3 linked regions of the Lonchura striata genome follow. The protein of the gene in region 3 purifies or fractionates together with the protein of the main gene of each other region. This does not show direct contact. Links are inferred from orthologs where the notes say so. Each region holds a gene or a part of one and is shown on either strand. Other genes may lie near its edges. The genes, in order: ATP5F1C, ATP6V1F and ATP6V1A.

The links.
Region 1: the proteins of ATP6V1A (region 3) and ATP5F1C fractionate together in Homo sapiens (co-fractionation; 3 studies listed by BioGRID). This does not show direct contact. The link is inferred for Lonchura striata from reciprocal best matches to the Homo sapiens genes ATP6V1A and ATP5F1C.
Region 2: the proteins of ATP6V1A (region 3) and ATP6V1F fractionate together in Homo sapiens (co-fractionation; 3 studies listed by BioGRID and IntAct, with this or other methods). This does not show direct contact. The link is inferred for Lonchura striata from reciprocal best matches to the Homo sapiens genes ATP6V1A and ATP6V1F.

The regions. Positions count from the first base shown.
Region 1 is NC_134607.1:68,976,430-68,984,391, forward strand, and holds the start of ATP5F1C (ATP synthase F(1) complex subunit gamma, mitochondrial), read right to left. Parts: upstream 3,075-7,962; 5' UTR 2,990-3,074; coding exon 2,946-2,989; intron 1,846-2,945; coding exon 1,811-1,845; intron 874-1,810; coding exon 742-873; intron 385-741; coding exon 180-384; intron 1-179. Other genes in the region: KIN (DNA/RNA-binding protein KIN17), read left to right, coding at 3,157-3,270, 3,813-3,907, 4,727-4,770, 4,861-4,983, 5,848-6,029, 6,920-6,968, 7,253-7,310.
Region 2 is NC_134607.1:73,138,975-73,144,445, reverse strand, and holds ATP6V1F (V-type proton ATPase subunit F), read right to left. Parts: upstream 1,618-5,471; 5' UTR 1,471-1,617; coding exon 1,313-1,470; intron 1,016-1,312; coding exon 814-1,015; 3' UTR 604-813; downstream 1-603. Other genes in the region: FLNC (filamin-C), read right to left, coding at 2,864-3,051, 3,378-3,587, 4,061-4,279, 4,477-4,653, 5,023-5,152. UniProt on the Homo sapiens protein: Subunit of the V1 complex of vacuolar(H+)-ATPase (V-ATPase), a multisubunit enzyme composed of a peripheral complex (V1) that hydrolyzes ATP and a membrane integral complex (V0) that translocates protons.
Region 3 is NC_134604.1:28,288,841-28,296,742, forward strand, and holds the start of ATP6V1A (V-type proton ATPase catalytic subunit A), read left to right. Parts: upstream 1-4,837; 5' UTR 4,838-4,970; intron 4,971-7,902. UniProt on the Homo sapiens protein: Catalytic subunit of the V1 complex of vacuolar(H+)-ATPase (V-ATPase), a multisubunit enzyme composed of a peripheral complex (V1) that hydrolyzes ATP and a membrane integral complex (V0) that translocates protons.

The sequences.
Region 1 (7,962 bases), on a different chromosome or scaffold from region 3:
TTGTGACATTATCAAAACCACTTTTAAAGTATTTGCAGTTTTTTTTTTACAGGAACTTGAATTTAACACAGTTCCCTTAAATGCAATTTCCTGCCAATGGCACACAATCCTACAGTCTTGAAATTTCTACCAGAGACAACAAAACTCTAAACTAAACTTTTGGACCCCATCCTTTTTACCTTTGAAGCAGGCCTCTGATCTTGTCACCTACTCCAACCACCATAACCTCCTTCCCTGCATTTGAGAGGTTGGTAATTTCATTCTTCAAGGTTTTAGCAATAGATGTATGGATAGCACCACACAGGCCTCGGTCAGAGGACACACCAATAAGGAGGTGCTTCTTCTTGTCCTCAGGTGGCTTTATTTCTGCTTTCTCATACAGAGCTGAAAAAAAAAAAAAGATCATAACATTTTTCAAGGGTGCCAAAAAAGCTAGTAAGTAATAAAAAATGCTCTGAAATATTCTAACTAAAACCAATACCAAAGGGGCTCCAGATCTCAGCCAGATTAATTTTATCTCCTTTGCAATTGTTCCAAGTTTGCACACGGTCAGACCAGAAGTGAGGAATAAACAATTCAGAGCCAGTCACAGCTCTGATCAGATGTCACTCAGTGAAGTTCACTGTGCAAATTCTTTTGGAAACAGACTACTGGAAGGTTAAAAAGCCTTGGCATTTTATCACCACTATGAAAACCTCCTCTTCTAATCCCCCATCACTAAGTGCAAGATCTTTCTCTCACACAGAGCTCCTGTTCCATAGACCCTCGCAGGCTTCAGCTCCCTCTCAGCTCTTGCGTATTTGGCTGCAGAAACCATCTTCATGGACTTGGTGATCTTCTGGATGTTCTTGATGGACTTCAAACGCCTGGTGACTGCAAGGTTAAGAGTTGAAGGTCATGGGCTGTACTGGGCACTGTGACTCAAGCCCAAACAACAAAATGCCAGCAAGAGCCATAAAAAAATATTTTGCCATGTTCCTCAAAGAAGAAGAAATAAATAAACAAACATCACAGAAATAAACCTCATGAAAGACCTTGGTACTTGCAGTAAGACTAAGAATGTAGCTAACACAGATTCATCTTTACAATAGAGATGTTATCTCCTTCAGATATAACATTCATTTAGTATTTATCCCAACATGAAGTCTATTTACTATTCTCTTTGCTTCCACCTCTACCTGTTTCACAAATATATTATTTGAGGTATAATGTCATCTTTCACAGATGACAAGCAGAGGAAACAAACAAACAAAAAAGTCCCCATAGTGTGAAGACAGAATAAATTTCCTCCTCTGTTTAGACTGTGGTAAAATGACATTTATAAAAACACTAATGCAAAAAATAACCAAAACAGGTATCCCATTGACAAGCACAATTCCAAGGCAATATCCCTATATAAGAACTATGAGGGATGGCTTAAGGAAGCATTATCACACTGAAACCATTCAGTCAATCCTTTTTCCCCCCAAATGCTGCACAAAAGCACAAGGAAATAAACATAAGATAAACTAAGTTAACTCTTATAGGTGAGCAGAAATCTGGTTTAGCACATACAGTAAAAATATTTTTAAAATCTATTTGAGTAAAACTATAAAAAGACATTTAAATTACTGCCAAAGCCACTTCAAGCAACTCCTTTTCTGAAGGACACTTGTTTAATGTGATTAGCACTGCAGGCCTATATATCATTGTTATACATCACAATCATACCCAACAGAGGCTAAACAGTATGCTTTAACATATGGTTTTCAACATATGGCTTTCCTGCAACATTTTGCCTCTCTCAAGAGCAGTTAAACCCTTTACTTACTGTCTTTTAGCGTTGCCATATTCCTGACTTGGCCCCTGAAAAGGAATGCAGGAGAAATTAGGATAATTCACTAGCTCTCCAGCAAACCAACACCTGCCAAGGGCAAGTCCCTTTCAGGGTGATGTTGCTGTTTCTTACAAAACGTGTGGCAGAGAGAAGCCACTCTTACCTGTGGCTTGCATGCACACCTTCATCCTTCCCTACCTTATATAATTTCACAGAATCAATTAGGTTGGAAAAGACCTCTGAGACCATCAAGTCCAACCTATGACTGAACACCACCTTATCTAAGTGGTGCCCTAACTAAGCCACGGGCACTGAGTGCTACATCCAGTCTTTCTGCAGATACCTCCAGGGACAGGGACTCCACAACCTCCCTGGGCAGCTCATTCCAATGCCTAACCACGACTTCTGTGAAGAAACTGTGAAGAAACAACCTAAACCTGTGTTGTCATGTCGCTGAGAGGAGGCCAACTCCCACCTGACTGCGCTGCGCTGTCAGGGAGCTGTAGAGTGATAAGGTCACCCCGAGCCTCCTTTTCTCCAGGCTGAGCTCTTCCAGCTGCTCTTCAGAGGACTTGGGCTCCAGACCCTTCCCAGTTCCCCTTCTCCGGACTCGCCCCTGCACCTCCGAGTCCTCCCTGAGCTGAGGGGCCCCGAAGCGGCCCCAGGACTCGGCAGCGCCGAGCACAGAGAAAGGTTTAACGCCTCGGCTAAGGGCACGGGGCAAACGAGGGCATTAGAAGGGCAAATTAGAAAGAAATATTTTTAAACAAAGCTTCGTGCAATGCAATTCATTTCTAAAGGCTATTAAAACGAAGCAGAGGAGGCCAGAGCAGGGTCTCCTGCCATGTATAAACTTGTCCCTTTAACCCTTGCCTGTCCCATTCTCCCACCCACCGAGGACGGAGCCTCCCTCCCTGCGGGTCCCCGCTGCCCTCATCTCCCGGCACCGGCTCCGCCACCTCCCCTCAGAGCCCACAGCCCCTGACGGGCCGCCCGCGGCCGCGACCCCGCCGCCCCCAGGCGCCGCACGGCCAAGGGAAGCCATCCCCCCCTCACCCCGCAGAGCCGCCCCGGCCATCGGGACGCGTTCCCCCGTGCCCAGAGCGCCCGTCCCAGCCCGTGCCGGTACCATTGCGGCTGGACCAGCGCGACCGCGCCGCCCCGGGCGAACATGGCGGCGCCTCCACCACAGCCCCGCTGAAGGTCAGCGCGCCCGCAGCGCGCCTGCGCGGCCCCGCCGGGATCCGCTTCCAGGGCGCCGCCGCCATTTCCGGAGGGGGCGGGAGCCGGACCGGGACCGGGACCGGGAACAGAACCAGGACCAGGACCTGACCGGCGTCATGGGGAAGTCGGATTTCCTCAGCCCCAAGGCCATCGCCAACCGCATCAAGTCGAAGGGGCTGCAGAAGCTGCGCTGGTACTGCCAGATGTGCCAGAAACAGTGCCGTGATGAGGTAACTGCGGGCGCTGGGGGGGTCCCCGCTCCTTCGGGCGGCTCCGGTCCCCGTCTAAGGAAGGAGTCCCGGTTCTCCTGGGGTCAGCTCTTGTGGCAGCTCCGATCTCATGGAATGGCTTGGTTTGGGAGGACCTTAAAGCTCATCCACTTCCAACCCCCTGCCATGTGCAGGGACACCTTCCGCTGTCCCAGGATGCTCCAAGCCCTGTCCAGCCTGGCCTTGGACACTTCCAGGGATGAAGCAGCCACAGCTGCCCTGGGCACCCTGTGCCAGGGCCTCGCCACCCTCCGAGGGAAGAATTTCTTCCCAATATCCCATCTAGCCCTGCCCCCTATCAGTCTGAAGCCCTTGTCCCTCGTTCTGTCAATCTCCCTTGTAAATGTCCCCAGTGCTATCGAGGGGAACATTGTGGGAGCTGCGATCATACTTGTAGGAGTTTATTTGTAGTAGTTTATTTGTAGGATTTTTAGTAATCTCTTCATCTGTGAGTGTTGCAAAATGAGACGAAGACAAGCCAAGTATTTATTTCTGCTTTATAGAATGGCTTCAAATGTCACTGCATGTCTGAGTCTCACCAGAGGCAGTTGCTGCTGGCTTCTGAAAATCCTCAGCAATTCATGGATTATTTCTCTGAGTAAGTTTTCTGTATATTCTTACCCAGATCTTCATGCCTGTGTCAGGTTTGCACAGCCATACCCCTAAGATCCAATAATGCCCCATTGAAGACACTTTATTGTGATACATGTTAGTGTCAGGTCTTCTTGTAATTGAAAATTACAATGCCACGTTTAAACTTTAGATAAGAGATTTCATGATTTTATTCAGTTTTGTCTCATGTTGTAATCCTGTTTAAAGTTGCTCTGTGTTAAAAATACATCACTTTTCTGTCCCTGCTGAATGACTGCCACACACACACAAGCTAAAAGAGCCATAACAATGAAAGAGCAAGTCAGGGGAGGGACTGATATGCCCCAGCTTCTCCCAGGCCTTTGTCCAGCTGACTTACGTGACAGCTGGGATGACTGGAACTGTCCTCAGCACGAGTTTGAAGTGAGGTTTTATGCTGCAGCCCTGGGGAATTAGCAGGGAGATGAGTGATCCATCTGCTCCATCCACTCCTCTGCCCTTTGTCCTGCCCTCTGCTCTGTGTCTGTCAGCCTGGGAAGACACCTGGTAACCAAACACCAGCAATTAGTGGGAAGTGTTGAGATTCCTTTGCTCCATTTTATGCCTTTGAGAGGCTGTTACTGTCTTGTACATTTGAGGTGTGTGCATGTATCATATTGTGTTTCATCCTGTGTTTGATCCTGGTCTGCTGCAAAAGGGAAATGTGTCTGAATATTGTCACACTCAGCTCAAAAGAGTAATGAGATGTTTAATTCTTAATGACAGCAGAAAATTGCTTCTTAGTTGTTAAAGCTTACTAAAGATATTTTTTTTTTTATTTCCTTAGGGAATTCCGAAATGATTTCCTAGAATTGCTCAGAAGGCGATTTGGTAAATATTTTGCTGTTTTTTTGTTTTTCTTAGTGTCTTTTGTTGGTTCAGTGCAAGCTACATAATAGTAATAATAATTCTGTATTTTAGGAACAAAGAGAGTCCACAATAATATTGTGTACAATGAATACATCAGCCATCGAGAACACATCCACATGAATGCCACACAGTGGGAGACACTGACTGATTTTACAAAATGGCTGGGGAGAGAAGGTAGGTGTACCTGCTCAGGGAAGTCTTAAAATTATTGGGTAATTGAATTCTTGGTAATTGATCAGTAAATATGTTAGTTCTTTTTTCTTTCTTCCCCTCTCCTCCTGTATATACAAGAAAAGATTTCCAAACATATTTCTGTGCTAACCATTAGGAGTTTGCTTGTGGAAAATGTGAGACGTCTGGGATGAGTACATCACTTGTGAGCTTTTCTTGCTTTCATCTGCTGGTCTGTATTTACTGGATACACTGCTAAATTCTGAATCAACTGCTAACAGTTGCCATTTAAAAATTACAGATTATTTCCATGTCTGAGGTGACAAGAAGCAAGCAGTCACTTTAATTCCTGGCCTAGTGGAAGGGTTAGAGCTGGAGATCTGCAGTTCTGTGTTTAGTGGGAGGAAGAGAGATTTAATGGCACTGTGGTGTGACAGAAAGTTTACTTTGGCTCTGGATGCCCTTGCTCTTCAGGATACATCCAGCAGTTGCAGAGTTTGGAAAGTCTCTTGCCAGAGTTGGTAACAATAGCACAGTACTGCAATATTTCCTTTAGTATGGTACTGTGAGTGCATATCATTTATACATGCTAGATTTCTGTCTTCTTCCTTGTTAAAACAGTGGGAAGGAAACATTTTCTTCAATAAGGAAAGTCTTGTAAAACACTTCATGCCCTTTGTGATGTACACTGGCCTGTGTCCAAACACATCTGGGTAGCTGAGGGCAGAAACACGTGGTACAGATAATTCAAAGTCAGTTTTAGCAGCCCACTTGTCTCTGGTGAAGTATCTGCATTGCTACAGTGAACATGGACTAAAAATGATCTTGATATTGTTAATTTTACTTTGTTTTTGCTTGACCTTTTAGGTCTTTGCAAGGTTGATGAGACTCCTAAAGGCTGGTACATTCAGTACATTGACAGGGACCCAGAGACCATTCGCAGGCAGCAAGAACAAGAGAGGAAGAAGAAACAGGACCTTGATGACGAGGAAAAAACTGCTAAATTCATTGAGCAACAAGTTAGAAGAGGTTTGGAGGGGAAAGAACTGGTGAGAAAAATTGCACTCTGTGTGAACCTTCAGCTCAAAGCTCTTGTGGTTAAGTCAGTGGGGAGTTTGATGCTCCTGGAAGCCTTGCACTGGTATTTCCTTTGCTTCCTAACTTGGATTACATTGTACCCAGCTTGCAGTAGTAGTAAAGAAGAAATAATTACTGCTCTTCTAGTGATTAGTGATTTAAAAATCACTCTAGAATTTACAAAGCAGGAGCAAATAATCCATTAAGCTGCATGATGTCTTAATTTGTGGTATTTCACAGCTATGTAGGGCTGCAGATAACAAGTACCTGGTGCATTGAGGAGGCTGAGATAAATAACCAGGGGGATCTGGCATAATCAAGTTCACCTAGTGAAAAGTTCTATTTTGGTGGTTATTTGGGATCTGTTTACTTGGCATCATGCTATGACCCCCATACGCGTTGCCTGGGGCTGAAATCTCCCATTTGATCCTGGGTATTGATAGTTACATTTAAATGCTGTTGTAAGCAATTACCTGCTTCTTAATTTAAAATTAATTGAAATTTAAATGGTCTGAGTCTTCGGTGCCAAAAAATTGGAAAGATACCAGAATTTCCTTATTTGAATTATTAGTCTTTCCAGAAACCAGTCAGATCATGCTGGTTCAGATAGAGGAAACTGATGCATCAAGGCTACTTGCCTTTTATGCTGAAATTGAGCGAGTTTAGGCAGCATCTCTATTAATTGGAGAGTTGCACAGGAGCCTGTAGTGAGATGATGTTTTCAATTTTAATCTTTTACAAATCAGGCCAGGTTGAATATTACAGTTACTGTCTGTAAAACTGAGCTGATCAATGATTATGATACCTTGACTCAGTTTTCTGTTTGATTTTTTAAATGTGCTTGGTTTTTTTTATTTGGCAGGAAATGCCAGTCTATACTGAACTGAATAGAGAAAACGAAGAAGAAAAAGGTAACTAGATTTTGATGGATGTAATTTTTGTGATTCAGATGAAATGAGCATTGAAGCCTGCTTGGTACTTTGAGATCAGTTATAAAGAGCATTGGAATGTGGAAATGCAGAGTATTCTGTATTACAAAGTTTAATTGACTTTAAAAGCTAAACCAAAGTATAGATTAGTAAATATTTTCAAATTTATGATTCCTTTCTATTTGCAGATTTTAAAAATTGTTAACATCCTTCAATGCAGTTATTTTAAAATATAGAAATAGAGTAATGTCTCTTTATTTTTTTAGTTACATTTAATTTAAACAAAGGAGCAAGTACTTCAGTCGCAGCATCTTCTAAAACAAGGTGAGAAAAGAATTTCAGGCCAACCTTTACTGTTACAAAGCACTTCTATGACAATGGTATTTGTATGAACAGGAAGGATTGTCTTGTCCTGATATATTTGGAGTCTAACCTCTCATCCTCTCTTGGTGTTCAGAAGGGTGACTAGGTGACTTCATGGTTGGTTTTGTATTTAAAATGGGTGAGTGGGTGTAGCTTAAATGTGAGCTGTGAGGAGCCTTCTTGAATTCTCTGTGCTTCATGGCAGATGTCCATACAGTAACAGGCAGTCACAGGTTCCTCCATGGAGGGTGGGAAAGGGATCCAGCCAAGCTTTTGCAGTGATGCCATCTAGTCCCAGCTGCCTTCTATGAATAGATATTCCTGACTTGTTAATTTTAGTTCCTAAAAGGTTTGATTGCCTTGTCTAATTGGAGGCAATGCTTTCTTTGGTCATCGTTTAAGCAGCTAAATCTACCTGAAATAAATCTTCCCAGAGCTCTGGAATTTAATTGTCATCTTGTGACCACAAGCAGTGCAGGACAAAAGGGATCAATAATGCAAATAATTCTGAATTACAGCAGTCTGGGGAACTGTTTGTTGAACAGTACATCTTCTCATGTGAGGCAATATTGTAATTAAATGTATTCCAGGTAAAAAGAAAGCTTTTCCCTCA
Region 2 (5,471 bases), on a different chromosome or scaffold from region 3:
ATTGTCAGGAAGACACATGAGGACAAAATGACACTTGGGCACTGGGGCGGACAATAAATAACCTTCTCCCCAGGTTCTGCTGGGGCTGAGGAGGCTGGAGAGGAGCTGGGGGAATGGTGACAAGGTCACAGTGACAACTCCCAGTGTCCTTGAGGTGTTCCTTTCCCTGACCCTGGTGTCCCTCCCTGCCTACAGGCAGGACCCAGCAGGATTCAGCAGGATACGGTGGTGGCACTTCCCCATCACGGGACACGGCTGAGACATGGTCACGGGTCACCCTCAGGGCCCCTGTGGCACCCCAGGCACCCTCAGTGACACACGAGGTTCCTTGCGTCACCCTCACAGCCACGGAGCAACCATAGACCCCGAAGGACACCCTGGGAAACCCAGGGACCCCCCCAGCAGCACCCTGGGATGGGCTGGGGATTTCTTGGGATGGGGACCCCCAGGCATGGGGCACAATGGCCCCTGGGTGAGTTTCCCTGAGGTGGAGACCCCCAGGCCTGGCTTGTGACCCCGTGGGTGTCAGGGGCTGTTTTGGGGTACCAGGGAGGGCTACCACAGTCATCGAGTATGAAGAAGTCGGGGGAGCGGTGGAGGACGGTTTGGGGGTGCTGGGAAGGTGGCGGGGGCTGTCTGGGGGTGCTCGTCACCCGTGGCTGGGTGCGGAGAGGCCACGGGCACAGGGGACAGTTCGGGCGTGCCGCGGGGGCCTGCACACACGGGAGGCACCGGGGAACTGTCTGGGGGAGCTTAGCGTGGGATCTGGGAGGATTTAGGGGAGTGCGGGGAGGGCCGGGGGTCCGGGGGGCTTTATCGCAGCTCGTCAGGCGCGAAGAGCCCGCGGGCGCGGCGCAGCACCGAGTCCCGGGCCGGGTCGTAGGGGTGGTCCTTGGAGGGGATCTCGAGCACCGCGGGCAGCGCCCGGGCGTGGGCTGCGACCGCCGGCCGGATCTGCTCCGCCAGCGCCTGCGAGATCAGGATCATGCCCACGTCCTCCCGCGCCAGGAAACCCCTGCCAAGGGGAGAAAGGGGAGAGTGAGGGGCACGGAGCGACCGCCCTGGGCGCCCCAGCGGGGGAACGCTCCTCGGGCTCCTCGGGCCCCGACCCCGGGACACTCCCGGCACCCCGGCCCGATCCTGCCAGCCTCTGCCTCCCCTCCTGGAACTCCGTGACCCGCCAGAGCCCAGAACCCGCCTGGATCCCCTCAGAGAGCCACTGGGACGGACAAGGCCACCCAGGGACCCCTCGGCACCCCGAACCTCAGTGACCCGCTCCGGGCCCTCGGGCCGCCTTCCTCCCCGCACACACCGGAACGTCTCCTCGATCTCCGCCAGGCTGGTTTCCTTCTCCACCACCAGGAAGTTGGGCCGCCGGTGCTTGTCCAGCTCCCCGATGCCGCCCAGCAGAAACCCGGTCACCGTGTCCTCGTCGCCCATCACCGCGATCAGCTTCCCACGGCCCGCCATGCCCAGGGCCCGCTGGGAACGGAATCCGCCGGGATACGGACCGCGGGAAAGCCGCTGCCGGGCGCCGGCGGGCTGGGGGTGCGCCGCCGGGAGCGGCTGTGGGGCTCGGCACCGGCCGGGACCGCCCGGGACCCGCCGGGACCGACCGGGACCCGCCGCCGCTTCCGGGTTCCGCCGCCGCCGCCCCCGGAGCGCCCCGCCCGCCGCTGCCCGGCAACGCCGCCGGCCCCGCCCGCCGCCGTGGGAGGAGCCGCGCCCCGATGACCCCGCCCCCCGGTGTCATCGCCCCACCCCCTCCGCCGGCCCCGCCCCGCGAAGCGCGCATGCGCACTGCGCCGTGCCCTTCAGGGGACGCTGCGCTACCCTGCACAGCGCCCTCTAGCAGACGGCACGGGCCCCGCAGGCAACCCTGAGCACACTGGCAGGGACCCCCGAGACCCCCGGGCTGTCCTGCCATGGAGTCCCCTTGAACCCCCCGAGACCCCCGGGCTGTCCTGCCATGGAGTCCCCTTGAACCCCTGAGACCCCCGGTCTGTCCTGCCATGGAGTCTCCTTGGACCCCCCGAGACCCCCGGGCTGTCCTGCCATGGAGTCTCCTTGGACCCCCGAGACCCCCGGGCTGTTCCAACATGGAATCCCCTTGGACTGCCTGAGACCCCCTGGGCTGTCCTGCCATGGAGTCTCCTTGGACCCCCCGAGACCCCCGGGCTGTCCTGCCATGGAGTCTCCTTGGACCCCCGAGACCCCCGGGCTGTTCCAACATGGAATCCCCTTGGACTGCCTGAGACCCCCTGGACTGTCCTGCCATGGAGTCTCCTTGGACCCCCAAGACCCCCGGGCTATCCTGCCATGGAATGCCTTTGGACCCCCCGAGACCCCCAGGCTGTCCTACCATGAGTCCCCTTGAACCCCCCAAGATCCCCAGACTGTCCTGCCATGGAGTCCCCTTGGACCGCCTGAAACCCCCAGGCTGTTCTGCCATGGAATCCCCTTGGACCCCTCAGGACTCAGCATTCTGCTCCAGACCCTCCCAGGCCATCTCCAGTATTCTGTTCCAGACCCCACCATCTCACACTGGGGCCTCATTATACCATCCTGCAGCCCCCAGGATCCCCCCCCACTCCCTAGGACCGGGATGTCCTGCTCTGGACCCCCACCTCGGGCCCCACAATCCTGGCCCAGACCCCCAGGGCCGCCCCCAAAGGCTTCTGTGCTGTTCTGCACACCCCAGAAATGTGGTGTCTTGCTCAGGACAGCCCTGGAGCTAGTGTCCAGCAGACTGCTCCGGGAGCCTGGCTCGCTCCAGCCCCACGCTGTGAGTGTCCCGGCCATCACTCGGACATTGTTCCTCTCCCAACGCTTTATTGCCAGCCCGCTGCCCCGGCTCGGGGGCTCAGGCCGCAGTGACACGGAAGGGGCTCCCCGGGACGTCGCGGTCGCCCCAGCGCAGCAGCAGCACGTACTCGCCGCGCTCCCGCACACTGTAGGTCACCGTGTACACGCGGTTCCCCTCGTGCTTCACGTGCACCTCCTCGCACGGGGCCTTGGGGCCGTGCACCCCCACCAGCAGCATGTTTGTACCTGGGGGGACGCGGGCAGGGTGAACCGTAAGCGTGAGACCCCGGGGTCACCCCAAGCCTCCCCCCTTGCGCCCCAGACCCTCCACCAGACTCTTCCCCTTACCCACCCCATCCCCTCCCAAGACCCCCAGGCCCCCCTTTAACCTGCCCCATCCTTTCTCAAGACTCCCCGGAATTCCCTGAACACCTCGCAGACCCACTGCCTCTCCTCCAAGCCCCCACAGGACTCCCCTAGGAGCCCCTGGACCGCCACGCCAAGCCCCCATCTGCCCTTCCAACCCGGTCCCCCCTCAGCCACCCCAATCCTTGGACCCCCGGCGCCCTCACCAGCCTTGCTGCAGTCCACGGTGAAGTGGTTCTTGTGGCCCAGGCGGGCGGCCGCCAGCCCTGGCCCCCGGGCCACCACTTGCCCAGCGTCTGACGGGGCCTTGGAGAGCCCCCCAAAGGCCGGGGGGCCCCGCGAGCCCGCCCTCACCACCGGCTCCACCAGCACTGTCGAGGTCTCGTGTAGACTGTGTCCGCCCGACAGCCGTGGGCCTGGGGAGTACCAGGGGTCACGGTCAGCCCCCACCATGGGACTCCCCTTCACACTGCGCGGGGGGGCATCTTCCAGGGACAACCCCCCTCCCCCTGGCACCCCCATCATGTCATCCTGGGGATCCTACACCATGTCACCCCCAGGACCCCCCACTCATGTCACCCTGGTCCTATAGGGTGGCCTTCCTGCAAACCTCCGTCATGCCCATCACTGACCCCTCGTCATCTCATACTGGGGACCCCCATGTTCTCCACCCCCAGTCTCCCTTATCCATGCCCCCCATCCCCGTGTCTGCCCACACCCCATCTGTACCAGTGACCTTGGCCCTGAAGGGGCTGCCCATGATGTGGCCCCAGTGGTCCCCATGTCCCCTTCAGTTCCCATGTCCCCGCTAGTTCCATGTTCCTCTCTATCCCCACGTCCCTCCCAATACCCATGGCCCTTCCCATCCCCATGTCCCCCCTGTTCATACCAGTGACCTTGGCCTTGAAGGGGCTCCCCACGATGTGGTGGGGGCCCCCATACTTGATGGAGATGAGGTAGTTGCCAGGAGCCATCGGGGTGTAGGTGACGCGGTGGCCCTCAGGGACCTCTGTACAGTCCAGCTCCACTTTGGAGGGGCCATCAATGGTGACAGCCAGTGCTCCTGCCCCCGCATTGGCTGTCTGCACCAGGAACTCTGAGGGCACCCCTGGGACATGGACATGGGGATGGCATCATAGGGGGAACACCAGGATGCCGTCGTGGTCATCACCCATGGCCACATCTCCATCATGGCTCTGTCCCCATCACCATTTCACAGCCGTGTCTCTCCTGCCACCACCACAGCTGTGTCTCTTTCCCCACCCCACTCCCACAGCCCTGTCCATGTCTCCACAGCAGTGTCACCTGTGCGGCCACCCTCGAGGCCTGGCCCAAAGGCAGTGACGAGCCCAGGGTCCCCGGCTTGGCTCTGCTCGCCCACGCGGATGTTGAAGGGGCTCCCGGGCACGTGGCGCCCATTGAAGCGCAGGTCAATGGAGTGCACTCCGTTCTCACGTGGCAGGAACCCCAGGGCGTACCGGTCTGGGGGACACAGACATGTCACCGTGTCCCCATGTCCCCGTGTCCCCATGTCCCCACACCCTGTTCCTGCACAGCAGGAACCCCAGTGCATATCAGGGGGACAAAGACACATCCCCATACCTCTGTGTCCTCTGTCCCCATGTCCCATGTCCCCACATCCCTGTGTCTCCACATCCCATGCAAGAACTCCAGTGTGTACTAGTCTGGGGGATGCCATCATGTCACTTTGTCCCCATACCCCATGTCCTCCTGTTCTCAGCCCCATGTCCCCACATCACATGTCCCCATGTCCTGTACCCTGTGCCCACAACCCCACATCTGCAGACCCGCTGTCCCCACGGTCCCTGTGGTGTCCCCGTGTCCCCTCACCGCTGTCCAGCTCGGACACGTAGCACTCCTCCACCACCCCTGCAGGCGTGTGCACTTTGGCGTCGATGACGCCGCGTGCCCCGTTCAGCTGCACCGCGAAAGATGCTGGCTGGTTCACTGCCACTGTCTCCTGTGGGCAGGCCACAGTGGCATCAGGGACGGGGGGACAGGGGGATATTGTGAATGATGCCAGCTGGTTCACTCCAGGGAATGGGGGGACATGGCGGGGGGCAGTGGGACAGGGGGAACACCATGGGCACCAAGGGTGACACAGGGGTGCAATGTGATACAAGGGACATCAAGGCTGGCACAGAGGGACATAAAGGTGATCTAGGGGTGACATGAGGGAGGGAGAAGTGGCCTCAGAGGGTCCAAGGGTGCAACAGGAGACCCAAAGGTGGCACACAGTGGGCATCCCAAGAGTGCAGTTGGGGCTCAGCACAGCCCAA
Region 3 (7,902 bases):
GTCAGAGTTATAAATCAGGTTAAAGTACCTATAATAAACTGAACTGATTTTTTTATAAACTCATTTAGAAGCTGTTAAGCCATTTGTAAGCTGGCATATAGGCAAGGTCTAAATTTACCGTCCATGAAAATAAATGCAGACTTTAGCTCACACTTGGACATTTCTAGGTTCAGAAAAAGCCTAAAAATAAAGTGATTTTCAAGCTCAATTACCTTTTTTGTCCTGACTCCAGTGCATATGACCATTCAGCAGTTTTCTCATAAACTTGGAACTTCCTCCCATATATGTTAAGCTTAGCACTGTGCCGAGCAAATGGAAACAATTCAGCAGCTCTGCACAAACTCTGTCATTCTAACTCAGGAGAGAAAAAACCCTCCCTGTTCTCCTCAGAAACATGATCATCTTCAGGACCTTGAAAGGTTTACTCCTTGAACCCAGGCAAAACAAGCAGAGGTATCAGAGCTTACCTTAACAACTCCCCACACTTTCAGAAACAACATAGTTATTTTTCTGTTCTATTCAGTACTCCCCAGCTGTGATGTCTCTCCTGCAAGGCAGCCAGAGCAGCACAAGCCTGCAAAGTCTCAGGGTTAGGAGGCAGCAAGTACCTGTTGTGTAGAATACAGCCTGTAGGACTCTTCCACAGCAAGTCATAAGGACCCTTAGAAACTACAAAACCTGAGACTTAGCTGCAAACACGACAAAGTTGAGAGGCAATCTCCTAGGAGAGTCCTACCCAATTTAGTGCACACTTCTTTCTAAGGCTGGTTTAACACACAGCGCTCTACTTAGTCCCTGCTTCAATCAGTTCTCCACCCCATGGCTCAAGATGTGCTGCTGCATGACAATCTCCCAGGTGTTTCATATCAAAACTGGAGATGTTAATGTGACAAAACAGCACATGCACAGGAGCCCAGGCACTGGGCCCTGCTTGTAACATGCCCTACCGGCTCCATGTATGTGACAATCCTGGTCACACCGCAGGTACATGCACGCAATGGAGCATGCAGGTCCTGCAATAGCCTTGTGTAATGTGATTTTTAGGTAAGGCCATCAGGGAAAGGCTGGATACCTTACTTTCATAGGTTTCATCTGAACTAAAACAAATTAGAAATGCACCCTTACTTTTAAGACAGCAAATGTCATGAACAGCAATCGGCAAATGCTCAAGAATCAGTGCAAGACTTTGAGTTTTCTCTCCTGAAAACCAGTAGCATAACAACTGGTAATGAAAACACAAAACCACTGAGCAACAAGTGAATCAACACCATGAATACAACAAAGTGCAGGGAGGATTATTTACATCTGCTATATAAAAACAGCCAGATTACTACAGACAGTGGAACCCGAGTCTCTTCCACTGGTATTTTTCCTCATGCAAACACAGTTCTAAAATAGATTTTCAAATTCAAGAACTAACAACAATAACATATAATAAATTAAAAAATAAATTAATCTCTACAGAATCACAAGATTCACTAACAGAACAGTGAATTACCTCAGTTTTTCAAGTCACATTTAAGAAAAAAAGGGAAACATAATGAGACTCTATTAAAATTATTCAGAAGGTGAGGATAGAGTGAACATAAAGCCAAGTCTCACAAAACCAGGTGAAAGCTAATAGCAGTTCCCAGTTGAGAAGATGGTGTTTAACTCATCAAATAAGAGAAAATCCACAAAATTGTAAGCAGCTGAGAAATCACAAAAATCTTCTGCTATTTCTGAAACCAGAGGGCCAGGGTAGAAGAGGTCACCTAACCTGAAATACCCTGATGACACAGACCCTACAACCTGCTATGCACTATTAACACACATCTATGTGCTATTTTGAATTCAGAGAGCTAAGAAAGAAGGCTGCAAGACACATACATTGACTACAGGGTCTTTCAGATCTGAAATTTCATGCCAATGAATCAGATAGTTTCTTTTTTTAATTCTTTGCCAAAGTAGACTCTTCATAATGACAGCTGATAAAACATCAGCTGCTCTAAGTGCTTCCAAAATCACCTCTGCATTTGGTGGTGTGGGTAACAATGCAGTGCATATATTCCCAGAAAAAACAGTCACAGGGCATCAGTTTGTTCAGAGGGACTTGTCCACAATTTTGGATTCAGTACTGAAGACAGACCAGATCCCTTCAAGCACATCAGTTTCTATATGCTGGGAGCTGGAGCTTTAGATCTATTTTTGGACCCATCCTTTGACAGTACTTGTACTTTAGGGATCTTCACCGATCCTTGTAACTTAAAAAACAATTTAGATCTTTTCCAAAGTACCCCTGTGTAATTTATACATTCCTTTTGAACTATTCTCTACTTCTTTGATTCTCATTGTATTTAAATGGGGATATTTTTCAATCTGAGCTCTGTCGGCATATTTGCCTCCATCTGAATTTTTAGAGAACACCTGGATTCAATATGAGGATCTGCACAGGAATATGAATTTATTCTGCACCAGAACTTTCTGTGTGGTGCTAACAGTGTTTTGGCAAGACAGGAATATGCTGTTCTTCAAAGAGATGAAAGAGTACCATAAGCAGAAATACCAAGTACAGAACCCAAAGCAATAAGCCCTAAAGTTGAACCAGAAACAAAGCTGTCTGTAAGTAAAAGTAAAGTGACAGAAATAAAGTTGGGTGCTCTGGAAGCAGAAGAGTGGTATGCAGGTTTTTTCTCCATAGCCTTTTATTTAAAAAAAAAAAAAAAAAAGTTACAAGAAGTAAAAAAGTCCATGAAATGAGAACTCCTGATCAGTGCAAGCAAAACCAGGCTCAGTTCCTCAGGGAGCACTGAGCACGACAGACAGCTCCAGCCATGCCCTGCTAGGAGATCCCCACAGCACCAGCCTGGCACGCCTGGGCCGCTTTCCCACTCACACATCCAGGTCCCAGTAACCCCATCCCATCACTGACACACGAGCAAAGCAAGGCTAAGCTGTTAGCAAACAGCAGAACGGTCAACAAAGGATAAAAGGAAACCCAGTTCTGTCGGGAGCGCTGCTGAACAACGATCGCATCAACTGCCACCTCATCCTGGCTGATCCGTGCTGCTGCTCTTCCCGCAAACTCCGGCGTCCTCATTACAAGGGGACTAAGAGTGGGGGTGTCCCTTTTTATGTAGGGTGGTGCAGGTGGATAAAGGTTTGTCCAATATCCCAAACACACCTATCTTATGTCAGCTGAGAGTTTGTTTATTTGCAGTCATCCCTGAACCTCTTTCTACAGACACCTGCCAGCCCCTCAGGATGCCTGAAGCTGCTTACACGCTGTAAAAACCAGCCAAGAGTCTGTTATCAAGCAGACTTGTATGACCTCACCCCTACTGCTAATAAGCTAAACCCCTTACCATTTCTTAGTAAAAGCTTAAGTGATTCAGCTTCCATTCACCCTGCCTTAAGCTGCCAAACTGGAATAATAATACCCATCATTGCATAACACCAGTTCCAAGGGGACGGTTTAATGCTCTTTTGAGAATCAGCTGAGGACAGCTTCCTTTGTGCCTGTGAAGAAACTGAGGCACAGAACTGGAACAAGCACGTTTTGTGGTGCACAAATGATGCTGAAATTAATAAACATTAGGTGGCTTAGCCAACATTGAAAAACCTGTCCCAAAGTGACCTGGACAAGGTCAGGCAGGTCATCTGACACCAAAGCACAACTGTGAGTGTAAAGGCCTCCGGTCTCCTGTACAGAAACGGCACCTCACTGCCCCCACTGAGAAGGAAATCAGTATTTTCAGCCACCCAGATTTGAAATCTCTAGTTTTCAGGAGACAGAAAGAAGCGATGCCAGACCCAAAGCAGCGGGTGTGCTACAGGAACATGACACAGGACACAGCTCGTTTGTCATCCATCTACGCTCTACAACCTCCACGCAGCAATTCAAGACTTAAAAAACCAACAAAAGTGCTAAGAGGATGTTACACACAATAGCGCTGCAAAACCACACACACCCGAGGCTGTCAGCTTTTTCGCACACAGTGAGCGGCGCTTCTTTGCTACCGCCAGACAAGGAGCAGCCAGGGAGGACAGCCCGGCCAGCATCCCCGCCCGCTCTGCAGATCCCAGACCCCGCAGGGCGGGATCCCCCCGAGCACGAGGAGCCGCCGCGTCCCGCCCGCTCCAGCGCGGGCTCAGCGCGGAGAATCCTCGCTCCGGCGGCGGCACCATCCTGACGGGCGGCTCCTGCTCAGCCCAAAGGGCGCCAGCGGCGACACCGCCGCCTTTTCTCCCCGGAGGGACGCCGGGCCACGGGCCCTGTCCCAGAGGGCGGGAGGGACGCAGCAACACCCCCCCGAGCTCCGAGGCGGCTGCACCGCTCGGCCCTCTCCGCCCGCCGCGCCGCCCGGGCCCGCCCCGCTCCCAGCTCCCCTCCCGGGCGGGCCCGGCCCGGGCCGAGCCCCGCACTCACCCCTTCATGGTGCGTCCGCGGCCTGCCCGGCGTCCGCGCTGGCTGCGTCCAGGGCCCGGCGGTGCGGGTGTGGCTCCGGCCTCCCCGTGCTCAGCGCGGGCAGCTCAGTCTCCTCCCGATCCCAATCCCGCTCCCGCTCCACATGGGCCTCCTCCCGCCCCGCCCCGCCCCGTGACCCCTCACCTCACGCCGCGCGCGCGTCCCCGCCCCGCCCGCCATGACCGCCCCGCCCCTCCCGCGCGCCCCCGCCGCGCACGCGCCGCGCCCGGCGGGGCGGGGAGAGGATGGGGAGGCCCCGCTCGTCTCGGGGACGGGGCGTGCTCGCTGTCACGTGACACGGAACCACCAATCGGCGCGCCCCACCGCGCCCGGCGCGCTCCTGCGCGGCAGCGGCCCCGGCAGGGCGGGCGAAGCTCCGCCCGGAGTCGGGCAGGGCTCGCGCCCGGCGCTTCCGGTGTGCGGCGCAGCGCATGCGCGCGGGGCCCGGCGTCAGCTGATCCAGCGCCTCCTTTGCCGCCGGCGGAGGGACTCGGGCGGATTCGGGCGCGCCGGGCCGGCCCAGGTGAGACGCCCGACCCCTCTCCCCCTGCCTCGCACCGCTGCCTCCGCCGCTCCCGAGCTGCGCCCGGGGCTGCCCTTCTCTGCGGTAAAGGAGCGGGGGGTCGGCTGTCGCCGCTCTCCGCCCCGCTCGCACCCTGCCCGGGAAGGACGCGGTCTCCCTGCGGAGCCGCTCGCAGGGGGAGCGCGGCCCCGGCGCTGCGGAGCGGCGGGAGCCGGGAGGGGGGCGGCCGGGCCGCAGGGAGCCGTGTCCCGGCGGCACGGCCCGCAGGGAGCCGGCCGTGCGCTTCCCGGCCCCGCTTCGCAGGGAGCGCAGAGCTGCAGAGCGAGGCAGCCCCTCAAGGAAAAACCGTCCGAGCGCTCGATCGAAGACACCCAGTGAGATGCTTTAGGGTTATGCCAGAATCCCTTACCGAAAAGAGACAGGGCGATAGCGGCTGGGTTCCAGCGCCAGGTCATCCCACCATCTTGAGTGGGTGGATCTGAATCTTTCGGTGCCTTGACCGCAGCGCAGCAGAGAGAGAGCAGCGCGGTTATGGAAGAGGAATTCCGCTGCGGGCTTCTCCCTGCAGCCATCCGTGGCAGAAGAACCCCCCTGTTGTTGCTTTGCAGTTGAATATCTTGGTGGCACATCAGATGTGCTTCCTATTCCTGTAGCCAGTGACAAAATTTTGCCTCAGATGAGGTGTTTCAGACATCACCCTTGGCATTCACTTAAAGGCAAGAGAAAAATCTTACACAGCTGGATTCTGGATGATATTGTTCATGTGACAGGTAGCTGTCACATTGGAGTATGTGACACTTGTGTCAGGATCCATCCATTCCGTGCAGCTGCCCAAAGTAATTTACTTTCTTAGGAGAAAGTGAAGTCTTCCTTCCTGAAATTTTACTGTCTTTTCTCATAGAATTTGCTCTTCTGCTGGGCATAAAAGCAATTTGGTGATCATTTTATTCATTGTAATGCAATACTTCAGCAAAGTACACTGGCTATTTGATCTAGCACGGTATTTTAAATGCTAATTCTGCTTGCTGAAGTGGAGAGGGGGTGGAAAAATAGGAAAACCTGCTGATAGACTGCTAGAAGTGATTTATTAGGAAGAACATGCGAAATACAAGCTGGCATTTGCAAGTGGAAGTTTGAGTAACTGAGGCAGATCTTCACTATGTTGTAAGTTGTGCTGTATTTATACTGACTTCTGCACTGTGCAGATCTGCAGCAGCTGAATGTTTGGCTTCTCTGTGCTTTCAAGGCCTTTTCAATGACCAGCAAATATAAACATGTAACAATATCTACGTTTTATTATTTTCTATGTAAGAATATGTGAAGTGAGATCAGAATCTACAGGTCTTTGAATTACCAAAAGTACTGCAGATTATTTTTGCTGTGCCTGTCAGTCTGTAATGCAAAATCCTCTGGAAAAGCTTTATTCTTTCATGTGGGGAAAAAATTAGTCTTAATTTTATGATCAGGTGGCAAAGTCTGACATTGAGAAGTACTAAATCACCATGGACATCAGCTTGAGAGAACAGGGAAGGACAAATTAAGGCAACAGTGGAAAATGGCTGCTGGCATCAGCTGACTGTTCAAAGGGGGGTTGCAGTCTTGTGTTGCAATAGTAACACAAGATCTCTGTTTCCCGTAAATACTGCCTTGTGGTTTTCCAAATCAAGAATTATTTTCTACAGGTAGTGCTAATAGGGTTGAGCCATGAGTGGTTAGTGTAGCTTCATTTTTATAGAGCATTAGCTTAAATTTAGCTTTTGTTTTGGTCTAAGTGTGTATTAACAGTTTTATGCCTCATTTGCCCTCATTTATGAAGGCTGTGGGCCTTAAGTGTCCTTCTGTTATCTAAATTTTTTTCCCAGGATGACTTCATGCATTTATCTCCCAGACTTGCATGGTGCTGGTGTTACACATTGTCATCCAAAGCTCCTATAGACCAGCAGGTTACCAGATGATTCCCCTGAAGATCCTTTTAGAGGCACTGTGCATTCCCCCTTGTGATTTCATGCCATAATGGTTGTCTTTGGGTTCTCAAGCCCTGAAAGTTCCTACTGATGGGTTTCCCTCTTGCTTTGAAATTGCATGTTTATGAGCTATGGCTGCATTCCTAATTACTCTTTTAGAAAGAGTAAAAGGATTGCAAGATAATCTCGTTGAGCTCTTTGGTTACTTTAATGTTGACCATAAAATGTTGAATGCTACGTCTGAGCAAGTAGTAATACCTCTGTTTTTTTCTCTTTTTAAGAAAACCCTACAAAATGCAAACCATGCAGCAACCCAATGCTACATTGCCTGAAATATATTCTTTTCTCCATGCTTGTTTTGTAGGTTAAAAAATAGGGGATTTCAGACTTGGAAATACTGAGGCATTGTTGAACAATGGTATCCGTATGATTTTTTTTTTTTAGGCTGGAATTTGGCCAATGAAAACAGACCATGCAGTCAACTGGAATATCATGCTCATTCATTTTTACTGAACATCTTAAAACATGTGACTTCTTTAGCCTTCCAGCTGGGCAGAGAGAAACAGGGTCCTACTCCAGCCGAAGAAGCAGAATGAATTTAAACTTTTCAGCCTTTTTTTTTTCCTACAGAATAAGCCAATAATCACCTAAATCTCCAACATGCAAAACTGGTTTTGACTGGATCTTCTGTTTGTCATTGTTGTATCTTTTATGGTATAAAAAGCTTTTTGCTTGTCTTTGATGCTCTCTCTCCACTTTTCCCTTTGTGAGTGGACAGCTAAGCTTATACCAAATTCTTGGGTTTGGTCATCTCTCATGGCATTAAGTTCTGCACTTATAAATATTTTTTGGTTGGTTACTTTATTTCATCCAAGCATTTATTTCTTCTGTGTCTGTCAAGCTCTCAAGTTCAACACTCCCATGTCTCAGAAACATTGACCTTTTTAGATACATGATTTGGTTGTTCT